3 linked regions of the Oryzias latipes genome follow. The protein of the gene in region 3 purifies or fractionates together with the protein of the main gene of each other region. This does not show direct contact. Links are inferred from orthologs where the notes say so. Each region holds a gene or a part of one and is shown on either strand. Other genes may lie near its edges.

Region 1 (4,067 bases), on a different chromosome or scaffold from region 3:
AATAAAAATTGGTTTGTATTTATTCATATTTAGGGGGAATCTGACTTGAAATATCAGATTGAGCAACTATACATTATGACTTAAACACTGTCCATATAACCTAACCTGACAGAATCATATTTATGCATATTCTATGCAACTGTAATTGTCATTTAAAAGGTTATAATAAATAAACAATGGGTTATTTAACATTAAGGAGTAGTTACATTTATTTTTCATTACATTTAGTTACATGTATAAGTTATATCTGGCCCTTGAGGACAGACACTATGCTGATGTGGCCCTCAGTGAAAATGAGTTTGACCCCCCTGCTCTACATCACACTTTGATATTTATAAAACTGTATTAATATGAGTCTGTTAACAATGTGAAAAATGTTGGACGTGTTTTACTTGTTTAAGGCACAGAAAAAATATGTTTATGTACTTTAATCAACTAAAAAGTCATTTAAAGTGATTTGACTGTTTATTTGAACTGGATTCGGTGACACCCCCCCCCCCCGGCATTCCAAACAGGAAGTACAAAGTGGTTCCAAGAAACCAAAATCCCATAGACTTCTATAGAGAAATAAACAGCTGTTAGTCAGTCGATCTATTTGTCAGAATGACTCTTTTTGATCTGTCAACTAATTTGAGTTTATTTGGTTGAAGCCAGTCATTTTCTATGGGTGACGTCACAAATAATTCACAGACCATGGATATGTGATACGGCTCATCGTAGAAACACTCAACTGTTCTATCAAATATGAATGTGTACATTTTTTTTAACTGTATATATTTTGGGTATATAGATTGGGGGGGGGTGTTAAACCACCAAATGGCTCCCCCAGGGGACGGGACAAACGTGGAGAACATTTCTCATACCAAGCTGCATGAACTTTGAAGATTCTTTCCTTTGGGTTTTGCCTGTGACTGATGCTGATGCATCCACATGTCTGCAGCTAGCTTGAGCATTTTTCAGCCAATCACAGTTACATTGTCCATTCCAAAGAATTCCCTCTTAAACTGCTGCTTTGACTGTTTTCCTTTCTTAAATTGGGCACAAACCCAGAATGCTGCAGTTCCTCAAACGACCACTGGAGGTTGGTCCAAAAACCAGCAAACTCCTATCCTATGTTGATAACTTCAACTCTTTCCCCAAAATAAACAGAAGTACAGCGTACTGTTATGTCTGATTTGAATGGTTTTGCCATTTATCAGAAGCAAAAGTGATTTTTTCCCTGCAAGTTGAAATTCCTCATCCTTTAAACTATGATGTATATTTTCTCTGAACCATCACATAACTACCATTAAAAAAACAAAAATTCTCATTTGAAAGAGAAAATGGACCAAATTTCCCCTTAGTGGGATTAATAAAATATCATTGATTGAAAAATATATATATTACAGCAGAATGTGGCTATTTTTTAAAGTGCAATGCATTCAATATACAACCTTAGGCAAAGATTTGCTACCAACAGTCATGAATTAGTGCAGAAAAACCAACATGTCTGCATTATTATCTTTTTGTTTATTTCATTCTTTACTTTTCTCAAACCTTCAATTTAGTAACAATGAACTGAAAATAGAAAAGCTTCTAGAATGTTTTAACCAACACAGACGTGAGTTTCTTTAAAGTTTTCTGCAGACTGTGAGGAAACAGCATCAGCCTCACCGCCGTTTCCTCTCCAGACCACTGCAGATGATTTCTAACCCATCTGTCACATCCAGGTGTGTGTTGGAGGTATTATGGGATTTTTAGTCCCAACTGCAGGTTTGAGCTCTGATCACAGTGAAAGGCGTATTTTACATCTGTTCCAAACTAACCAGGGAACAGTGGAGGCTTCCCTTAGCAGTGCTGTAGAGGAGGACGCTGCCAGCCGCTGTGCCCATCGCCAACAGGTCGGCCTTCTCCTCCACCTGCACCGCCTCCGATTTCCTCTTCTTCCTCTGAGGTCCCTCCTGAAGAACATTAGATGAATTATGAAAACATGCCCCCACATCATCTATTCATTAGTTATGTCCTCCCCAAACAATGATATGCATATTATTTCAAACAAAAAGCCACATTCTTAAAAACTGATTTGTATAAAGACAGACAACTAACCTCCACACTGATCGCTCCTCTTATTGATCATGGGTTGTAGTACTGATAAAGTCAGAATGCTAATAACTAAGTTATTTAAATGGAGACCACCAAGCTCATCGTGACAACATATTAGTTACATATATACACATATTTATTCCTGTTTGGGGAGTCACCAACGCTACACTTCAAATGGGACATCCTGCTCCTTCACTACTACTAACCATGTGGGACAAACATGTGCGCTCGTGTGGAGCTTTTCATGCTAGCTAGCTAGAGTAACTATTCCGATAAACAAAACTTTTCGACAAACATTGAATTTGTAAAGCAAAATCATGACCCAGTAATGTAACAACCTATGAATATAGTTTATCTTTACAGTTTGGATCGCGTCCGTTCGATAGGAAACGCGTGCCACATAGTTTTTTCGGGCCTCGCTCCGACGCTAGCTCGTGCGGCTAACGGTAGCTTCACGCACCTTCACTGTTCGGCATGGTCCCCAGGCGATGCACGTGCAAGTGGCACTCAAATGAGCTGAAGGCACGTATTCTTGGTGAATAGTTTTGCTGTCTGTATTCCAGATTCGAAGTCTCCCATCCTGAGCGCACACAGCCAAATACTGGCGTGATTTGGGTGAGAAAACGCAGGGTAGCTGCAGCGATGAGCTGCCACCGTCAGACGCCATTTCTGTGGCTCTTCTTGCGTCTGCGTGCGCCGCCGTGCTTACACAAACCACGTGCGTCCAATCACGGGCATGCGCACTGTTACTCACCAAGGACTGCCCCCTCTTGCCCGCCAGAAGGTGTTGACATAACTGCAGGTTACATTTTGTGATGACACTTCAAATTTCTTTTGAGTTATTTGCCTAAATAAGCAAATATTATTCACATTATATTTCATTAAGTACAAATAAAAAAGTTAAAATATATCACGTTTCTGACCATTACAAATGAAGATAATTTACTTTTAGTTTAGTTGTTTTTTACTATTATAACCCCCCCCCCCCCCTACAGTTTAAATACAGTTTTAAAGGCCTTGGTGATTCTGCAGATGAAAGGACTTTCATTGTTTGATTATCTTTCCATTGTTCTGCTTTGTTAAATTAATTATGTAAGTGTTTCCATAATTATGATGCATATTTGACAAAATCGTACAGTGCTCCTTTGTACGACGGAGTATTAGGGCCACCAAAAAAAAAAAAAATTAGAGCCACCAAAAAAAAAAAAAGTAAAATTACGAGATTTTATCTCGTAAATTTAGGAGATAAAAACTCGTAAATTTAGGAGAAAAAAAGTCGTAATTTTAGGAGATTACAGTGGAAGTTAGCATGCAGAGCAGACCGACTAAACTTTGTTGAACAGGTGAGCTGAATGTTTATTGATAACGTTCCAAATGTCTGGAAGGTCATTTGTTTGATTTACGATTCATTAAAGTTTTATTTATTGATGGTTGGTTTGCAGGATCTCTGCAGCCCGATGAAGCCGTCGTCGGTGTCCCTGCAGCTGTTCGCTTGAATCCTTTCTTCTTCCACCAAAGACAAGACTCTACGTCTGTGTGACGCTTCCGTCACACAAAAGGAGGAGCACTTTTTTTTGGCATTTTCAACGTTCCAAAGCTAATATAAAACACTATTTTCATTCCTCTTTATTGTTTTATGCTGAAACGGGACATTTCATCTGCAGGAGGGGGCGTTTGTAACACTGTTTACTTCCGCATTGGTGTTGGGATGACAGGTTCATGACGTAATGAGACAAATGAACTTCAGGATATGTGAATGAAAAGGAGAATAAAGGCTGCAGCGATTGTCTACACCCAAACGTGTCTCTGAGCTCCTTATTTTACATATTAAACTCCGCTTTACTGACACTGAACCCCGGAAAGACTGCTGCACGGAAAATAATCTGATTTTGAGTTGCCAAAAGGTTCAGAATCTCTTTGTTTTAAACCTATAATAATCCGGAAATGAAGCTTCACAAAAGGCTCCACATACTTCATCTTCAAGC
Region 2 (4,207 bases), on a different chromosome or scaffold from region 3:
GTTTATTTGAATGAAACTCCTGACAAGTCTACTGCGGGCTAGCAAAAGAAAAAAAAGCTACAAACACCGCGGCCTTAATGATCTTCAATTAGACGTAAGCATTTAGCTAAAAATATACTCTTTCATATTTTTGTGACTATGAATCAATTCTTATTGCATAATTTAAAGTTGCATTAAGAAGTGTGTAAAATGCTGTCAGACTAAAACAAACCTGGCGCTGGGGTGAACACGCGGTGCGAACGACCGTAAAGCAGCGGAGACGCCGGAAATGACGTCAACGAGTCGCCCCAGAAAACACTGCTTTCCTTACCACTGATTTGTGCAATTTTTCAATTCCAGTTTTGTTTTTTAATTGTTTACCATAAAAAACGTTTTTGTCAACGTTTTTATCTTTAATCATAATTGTATACTATTTCTAAGAGTAAACAATTTTGAGAATAAACCAAACTAAGTTGTTGACTGAGAAATAATTTGGGAATTTAAGCCAGTGATATGTATTAATATTAATAATTATTATTATCAGTATTACTTGGCAAGAACCAAGTGTTGTTTGTTTAATCCTCTAAATAAATAAATAAATAAATAAATAAATAAATACCAATGAGGAACCAGCTTCTTAATGCCACACTAAAACTTTAATTTAACATGCAGTTAAGAAAATGTTACTATTCTCCATACGGACCACAATATACTGCAAACAATCTTATTGGTTAAATTTTTTTTTTACCTTCCAAACACATTCATACCATGGCTAGTGTATTGTTTATTAAACTAAACTGCTCTTGTACACATTTTTATTACTAATCTAATTGTTTCTACAGTTGTTTTTACATTTACCTTGTTCCCATTATAATTATTTTAGTTGAAATTGTTGTATGGTACACGTTCAGTTGGTGGTCTTTTTCTTTACTCCGAGTGTGATGACAATAAAGCAATCTAGTCAACAGTAGCCTTTTAGAGAAAAATATCTCTGGTATGGCAATGTGTTTGCACAGCTTTTGTTTGAACAATTTATCTTCATAGTCTGTATATGTAATTGTATTTAGTATTTTAGACATTTTAAATTGTGTATGATAAATTCATAAATGTCCTATTCTTCTATTATATCTTGGAGGATAAAAATAAATCATTTGTATTATTTTTTTGGATTTGTTTATTTATTTTGTCTGATCCTTTCTTCTTATCTCTAATGAGGATTCAAGGATTCAACAGTAAATACTGTTCTGTTGTGGGATGAACAAATTATTTTCTATTCTATTCTATTCTATTCTATTCTATTCTATTCTATTCTATTCTATTCTATTCTATTCTATTCTATTCTATTCTATTCTATGTCCTGAAGATGCCACCTCCGACCTGAAGGGGGCAGTCAAGAAGTAACACTGTGACCGGAAGCTAACAGAAGAAGCAACATTTCTCTTTCTAGCTATGGCGTCCTCCTGAGAGCTGGCTGACAACGTGATTTAACGGCAAAATGAAAACTTTTTTATTTACCTGAACGAGACATCATATTTTTATATTCTTGTTGGTTTTCTACTTCATAAACACACATCCGTCCCTCTGTTTGTTCCAAGGTAGGAATAAATAGTAAACTACCAGCGGTAAGAAAAAGTGCTAAGTTAACTGCACCGCACCACCATGGTGGTCTGCTGCGCTTGGGTTCATACCAGCGGTTTTAAATTTAAATGGTTTAGTGTAAATAATAGGTAAATTAGAGCTTCATAACTAAAGTAGTTGGTCATATATTTATTTATTCATTTATTTATGTTGGTTTCTAAAAGTAATATTTTATTTCTTAAGTAGCTAGCTAATTCAGTTGATATTTTTATGCTAGTAAGTTTAGTTAACGATGCTGTTCTTTGAAATGTTTTGTATGATTGTTTGGTTGTAACATGTTTGTTTAGCTTCATCCATATATTTAGTATTTTTAAACTGTAATATAAAAATATATTATTTATCCTGTAAAAAATCCAACTTTGTTTTTGTGGTTTTAAAGTTTAATTTGTCAATGAAAATTATTTGATTTGAAGCATTCAACGAGCGCATTATTGTATATTATTTAGATGTCACCTTTTATTTGTATTTTTCCGGCTATATAAATTAGACCGATCTGCAGAGATGGCTTCATATAAACCAACAAACATTCCAGTTTATCCCAAACTCGGAGAGAAGATCACAGAAGAAACACTGTACTGGAAAAACTACAAGGTGGATACTTTTTTTCTATGAATATCCCTTTAATTGACTTGAATCATAATTTATCTTTATGACTAATTATTGTTGCTGCGTTCAGATCCTGTCGAATAATCTGAAAGCATGTAATACCGGTTGCATGGTTGGTGGTTTTAAAGTAAATCATCTGATGTATGCAGATGATTTCGTTGTTTTTAGCCCCAGCAGCTCCGGATTACAGCAACTTTTAATTGTTTGTTCCTAATTTGGTTTTAAAAATGATATTTTATACAATTTTAATAATAATTCGCTGTGTTTATTTGTCATACCAAGGAAGATGTTACATTGAATTTTCCTGCTTTTAAACGTTCTGTTTCTGAGCTTGATGTCTGTCACATGACTTACAGATGATGATTATTTCCACAGACAGGTGTACTTTATGTGCTCAGGCAAACACGCTTGCACGCAGGTTTTATTTGTGTTCTGACAATCTTACAATTATTCTATTCAAACTTACTGCACACCCTTATATATTTCCCACCTGTGGACCAACTACAGGGCATCCAGCATGGGGAAGCTGCAGGTAGCCTATAACGATGCCCTATAGTTTTTTTTAAACAGCCACAGTGGTGCAGTTTGTTGATGCAAGAATTAATACTATCCAAGCTTTGTTGAGATATTATCTATATCTATGGTAAAATACCTGTCCCCTATTTGGAGGATTTGGTATGGTCACTTTTTTAAACTTTTACATTTTTTAGTTTGCAATAGTTTGTCTTTTTTTTTAAAAGTTTATCACACTTGGTAATCTTATTTAATTGTTTTCATGCTTCTACTATCATGAATGCTTTTATTTTTATTCTTAAATCTTTTATTTGCTTTGTGCTTCTTGTGGCAAATGGACCTTGAGTTTTTAATAATAAACTTCAAACTTCATTAATGTTTTTTTTTCTATTCCAGACGCCAATCCAGATAAAAGAATTTGGAGCTGTGTCGAACATTCACTTTTCCCCTGTGACTCCCTATAATTTTGCTGTGACAGCTTTCACAAGAGTAAGTGTTTTCTTTTGAGTCAGGTTGTTTTTAATTTTTTTTATATTTAATTTATTTCAGTTGTCAAATTCTGGACGAGAATTTGAACACCTAATATTGATTTACAACATTACAGAAACACAGGTTACATGGTCAGGGAAACCTCTTACAAAAATGTGGTTAAAATGAACTTAAATTGGTTAAAAATCACTTAATTGTAAATGTAAACTATTAATTTTTCTAATTAACTATTAATCTCCTTATCATAAACCCACTTCAAGGGTCGTCACATATTTTACATTTAAGAAAGGTTTATACGAATTTGTGTTGCTCATTCAGAATATGTTGTTTTGAGAAACATAAGCAAATATAATAACTTTAATATAAAGCTGAGGAAATGACTTGTTAATAAACAGAGTCGACATTACTAAGGCTACGTTCACACTGCAGGGTGAAATGACCCAGTTCCGATTTTTTTTACCCCTATGCGACCTGTATTGGATCTTCTCATGACAGTCTGAACGACACAGATCTGATCTTTTCAAATGTGACTTGGGTATGTTGTCCTGAATCCAATACGTATCCGATCTTTTGAAATGCAACCGCCATCTGAATGGCCAGGCCACATGTATCTGACCTGTACATCATTGATACGCTACAAACGTCATAATTCTGCGTTGAAGTAGGCGGGAACGAAAGCATAAACAACAACCATGGTGGACGATGCTGCTGAGACCAGTCAGTGGAAGGGAAGTGAGGTCACCAATTGGATTAATATTTGGGGTAACAGCTCTATTCAGGCCAAACTCAAGGGCTCTTAACACAATCGGGCGCCTTTCCCGCGATGACTTTTTTTCTTTTCCGACCGTGGTCATCCTCCTTCGGGGTTCACTTCCCCGTTCGGACCCTCAGATTCTCCAGGGTGGGTTAATAAAGAGTCAAAAGCAGTTCTGCAGGGGGGAAGCCTTCTTTTATTACCGTTCTCCTTCCTCCGTGACACACG
Region 3 (3,513 bases):
TAAAGACCACTGGGAACACTTCTAAACCAGCTCAAAAGGTGATCGGTGCAGGTCTTTATCTCCAGCAGATAAAAAAAAAAGCTGCTCCTCTGAATCTCCTTCCATGGATCCAGGAACTCACCAGACTTTGGTTTGAGCGTGTGAAGGTGTTTGCACTGCAGCTGGTCCAGCGAAGCGACAACGACGGAGGCCTGAGCCGATGAGGCAAAGAGTCTGGATGAGTCAGAGGAGAAGCAGAGCTGGTGGACAGAGTGTAGCTCCTTTGGCAGTTTGGACACCTGGAAGACGAGAGGAACGAAAAGAAAAGACACGAGGAAGAGGAGAGGACATGTTTGAGAATAGATTTAAGGATAGAGGAAAGAAAATTAGCATCATTTACTGAACATTTGTAGTAACAACATCAATTGTGACTAGTACTAGAAGTATTTTTGAGGAGTGCATCTTTAAACGACTAAACTCTAATGTTTGCTCTTGGTTCTTTCACTTCTGCCCCTTCATGCTTTGCAGGTAGAACTCCTGGTTGTTCCAGCCTTAAGCCCAGCTGCCTGTCTGCTTTGCAGCGTTTATCTGTGCAATCTAACAGATCTTTTTACGAAGCGTCGCTTTTCAGTAAAGGGTCATTTTTTAAGAGGACGATGGAGGTTTTTGAGGCTTTGACCGCACCTTCTTGATGCTGATGTTCCCGTTGCTGAGCTGCAGTTTGTACAGACGAACGCTGGAGACGGTGGAGAAGGCCACCCAGCTCCCACATGGAGACACGGCGCTGCAGCAGATGTGATCCTCTCCCTGAGAAAGAGAGGTGGGAGGGGGGCATGCCGTCAGAACGGTGTGATGCCGTGACTGAAATTCAACACGGATTTGAAAAGCTGCACACAAAAACAACACAGACCTTGTTCTGGAGCTGAAGCAGCTTCTCTGGATTCTTCATCACAGGCAGACGATCTCCAGCCTGTCCTGGGAACAAAGACCGGCATCTTTATGAACGATCTTAGTCCTATTTTCTTTTTTTTCAGCAACACAGTCAGAGAAAAGCAAAGGAACCTGCACTTTTTTTCTTAGTTTGAATTTACGGAAACTATTTTTGGGCACATCATCACTTCCAAACACTTGCTTTTTAAATTTCTCTAAGGAAAAAAAAACTTGTTTAAAAAAAAAAAAGCTTTTTCAATTTTAAATCTAAATGGAATTAAATGTAAAGTACTTTATAAAGAGCTTAAAGTTACAGCTTTGTATTTGTAAGTCAAGCCTGAAATTTTCAGGAATGTGACAAAAGTTTGAACACGTCAGTTTTTAAGAAAGTTTTAGGGTCACCATGAAAATAATAAAATACATTAATTTAAGAAAATAAACCAGTAAAATTATTATTAAAAAGTTGTATTTTTGCAAGGAAAAAGGCACACTTTTTCAAAAATATATTTGGTTGTGCAAAACTCCATCCACAACCTTCTTCTGAGAGGCCTGAAAATGCTCTTTCATTGGTTATTTTTACTTTTTTACATATTTTCTTAGTAAACAGAATTTTGCACCATTAAATTTATGACTATTCTTGTAAATTCGCACGTTTATCATCATAAAACATTGACTCTTTTACTTATAACTCTGAGTTTATTCTTGTAAAATTTCGTTTTTTCCCCCTCATAATTTTACAACCATTTTTTGGGGTAAATTTTAACTTTTTTCCTCACAAAATTGCAATTTTTTCCTCACAATTTCTTCTCGTACTTGTTTTTATTACTAAAATCTTTGGTGGTCCTAATAGTCTTGTAACGTTTTGTTTAAATGTAAATAAAAATTTGAGATTTTTGTTGATGTTTTGTTCTGTGACATTTTCTCAGGAAAAAAAATTAAGGATGAAATTTGCCTCAATTTGTCTTTAGGACACAGAGGAACTCGGCGCCTTTGTCACACAAGCAGCAGCAATGTCTGCTGAAACACTCTAAAAATACGGCAACAATTCATGATTCCATCAAACAACAGATTCCATTTCCTTTAAAACCAATTCTTTTGGTTATTTCAAACATTTTCACATCGTTAGTAACTTGAAGTGAGCAAAGGTGGAGCGTTTATGGATCATTCTTCAACATGCAGGTCACGTTCTGCAGAGCAGCTGGACTCTAAAGGATGAAGATCCTCTGAGTGTTCTTCAGTTCCAACAACTGATGTTGAGTCAGGTTATTTTGACGAAAAATGGCTTCTTTAATTTCCAGCTGATCTGTCCACAATGGAGAGTCCATCAGCCTTCAGGTGAGCTGCTGGTCCAGGCCTGATGTTGTGGCTCTTCTGTGCTATGATTTTTGTCTTGACTGCACTGGATAACACGGACCTCGTTGGTCTGCTTCTCCTCCGTTGTGTTCTTAGGGTGGACCAGTATTTGTCTCAGTTTAAAGGTAACAGGAATGTTTGAAGATCCTGCAGTTTAGGCACAAGGTCAAATGTTGCCCTCCTTCCTTCTTGGGCTCCTCTTCTTGGGTTTCACCAAAGTCCAGCTTTTCCATCCTTGACACCGGCGTTCTGGTTTCTGTTGCGATGTTCCGATACCTCCTAGCTTTGAGATCCTCTGAAGTGTCTGTGGGTTTCCGGTTCAATGAGGTTCTCATACCGACTCATATCTCACGTTGGACTCCCACCATCACAAACGCTTTTAGCACAGAAATCACAACGGCAAAGAGGACTGAAGGAAAGACTCAGAGGAGCAGCCAAACATCTCCAAGATCAACCTTTAAAGTCCAGTTGACATGAAGAACAGAATCATCTAAACTTTTACATTTCTTACAGTACACGTTATGGGAAATGTTTTTTTTTTCTTCTTTAAACTCCGCCCTGTTCTGCAGGAACCTGTGTGAACACGGAGAACTTTGCAGGAGGCGATGGTCCAGCTCACCCTTTGCGCTGCTCTCCCCCAGCCTCCACAGCTCCAGGTGATCCGGGAACTGGAACAGCAGGAGTCCGGCTTTCTTGGCACAACAAACCAGACTTTTCTGTGAAGATGAGAGGATGGAGCAGATCACTATAGCAACAATGTACACGACTCCATTTTCACTTAGAAAAAAAAAAGCTTTACTTTGTAAAACAAATCCTTCAGAGTAAAAACTCCAAAGTTTCTGTTCTCTAAACACTCACGTGCGGGAACAAGATTTTACGCAGCGCAGACTCCTTGGTGTTTTTCTCCACCTTATCCAGCAAAGGTCGCACCACCAGCTGGGTGTCCATACCTGCAAGGAAAAATCATCTTCAATTAACTAATTTTATTCCAAAGGAAATGAGTGATTTTCACACTGTTTCTGGTCCATTCAGAATTAAAGGAAACTTTTATCACTCTAGATTCCTTTTTATTTTATTTTTCCCTTTACTCAAATATTGAGACACTTATTAACTAGCGTGCTTTTAATTGGGTGAGTACTACACGACCTAACATTAAGCTGCACTTCCTCCAAAAGGAAAAAAGAGAATAACAATTTAAACTTTCATTAAAAAATAGAAATATCAAAAAAACTGCAGATGCATCCATTGGAT

The links. Proteins that work in one complex are often made in the same cells at the same time.
Region 1: the proteins of utp4 (region 3) and wdr43 purify together in Homo sapiens (co-immunoprecipitation; 5 studies listed by BioGRID and IntAct, counting the BioPlex papers as one, with this or other methods). This does not show direct contact. The link is inferred for Oryzias latipes from reciprocal best matches to the Homo sapiens genes UTP4 and WDR43.
Region 2: the proteins of utp4 (region 3) and utp15 purify together in Homo sapiens (co-immunoprecipitation; 4 studies listed by BioGRID and IntAct, counting the BioPlex papers as one, with this or other methods). This does not show direct contact. The link is inferred for Oryzias latipes from reciprocal best matches to the Homo sapiens genes UTP4 and UTP15.

What each region holds. Positions count from the first base shown.
Region 1 is NC_019880.2:27,244,106-27,248,172, reverse strand, and holds the start of wdr43 (WD repeat-containing protein 43), read right to left. Parts: upstream 2,803-4,067; 5' UTR 2,750-2,802; coding exon 2,543-2,749; intron 1,941-2,542; coding exon 1,806-1,940; intron 1-1,805. UniProt on the Homo sapiens protein: Ribosome biogenesis factor that coordinates hyperactive transcription and ribogenesis. Part of the small subunit (SSU) processome, first precursor of the small eukaryotic ribosomal subunit.
Region 2 is NC_019867.2:5,951,600-5,955,806, reverse strand, and holds the start of utp15 (U3 small nucleolar RNA-associated protein 15 homolog), read left to right. Parts: upstream 1-1,405; 5' UTR 1,406-1,601; intron 1,602-2,104; 5' UTR 2,105-2,118; coding exon 2,119-2,208; intron 2,209-3,132; coding exon 3,133-3,225; intron 3,226-4,207. UniProt on the Homo sapiens protein: Ribosome biogenesis factor. Involved in nucleolar processing of pre-18S ribosomal RNA. Required for optimal pre-ribosomal RNA transcription by RNA polymerase I.
Region 3 is NC_019864.2:27,342,687-27,346,199, reverse strand, and holds part of utp4 (U3 small nucleolar RNA-associated protein 4 homolog), read right to left. Parts: intron 3,213-3,513; coding exon 3,121-3,212; intron 2,979-3,120; coding exon 2,882-2,978; intron 955-2,881; coding exon 890-954; intron 787-889; coding exon 664-786; intron 279-663; coding exon 122-278; intron 1-121. UniProt on the Homo sapiens protein: Ribosome biogenesis factor. Involved in nucleolar processing of pre-18S ribosomal RNA. Part of the small subunit (SSU) processome, first precursor of the small eukaryotic ribosomal subunit.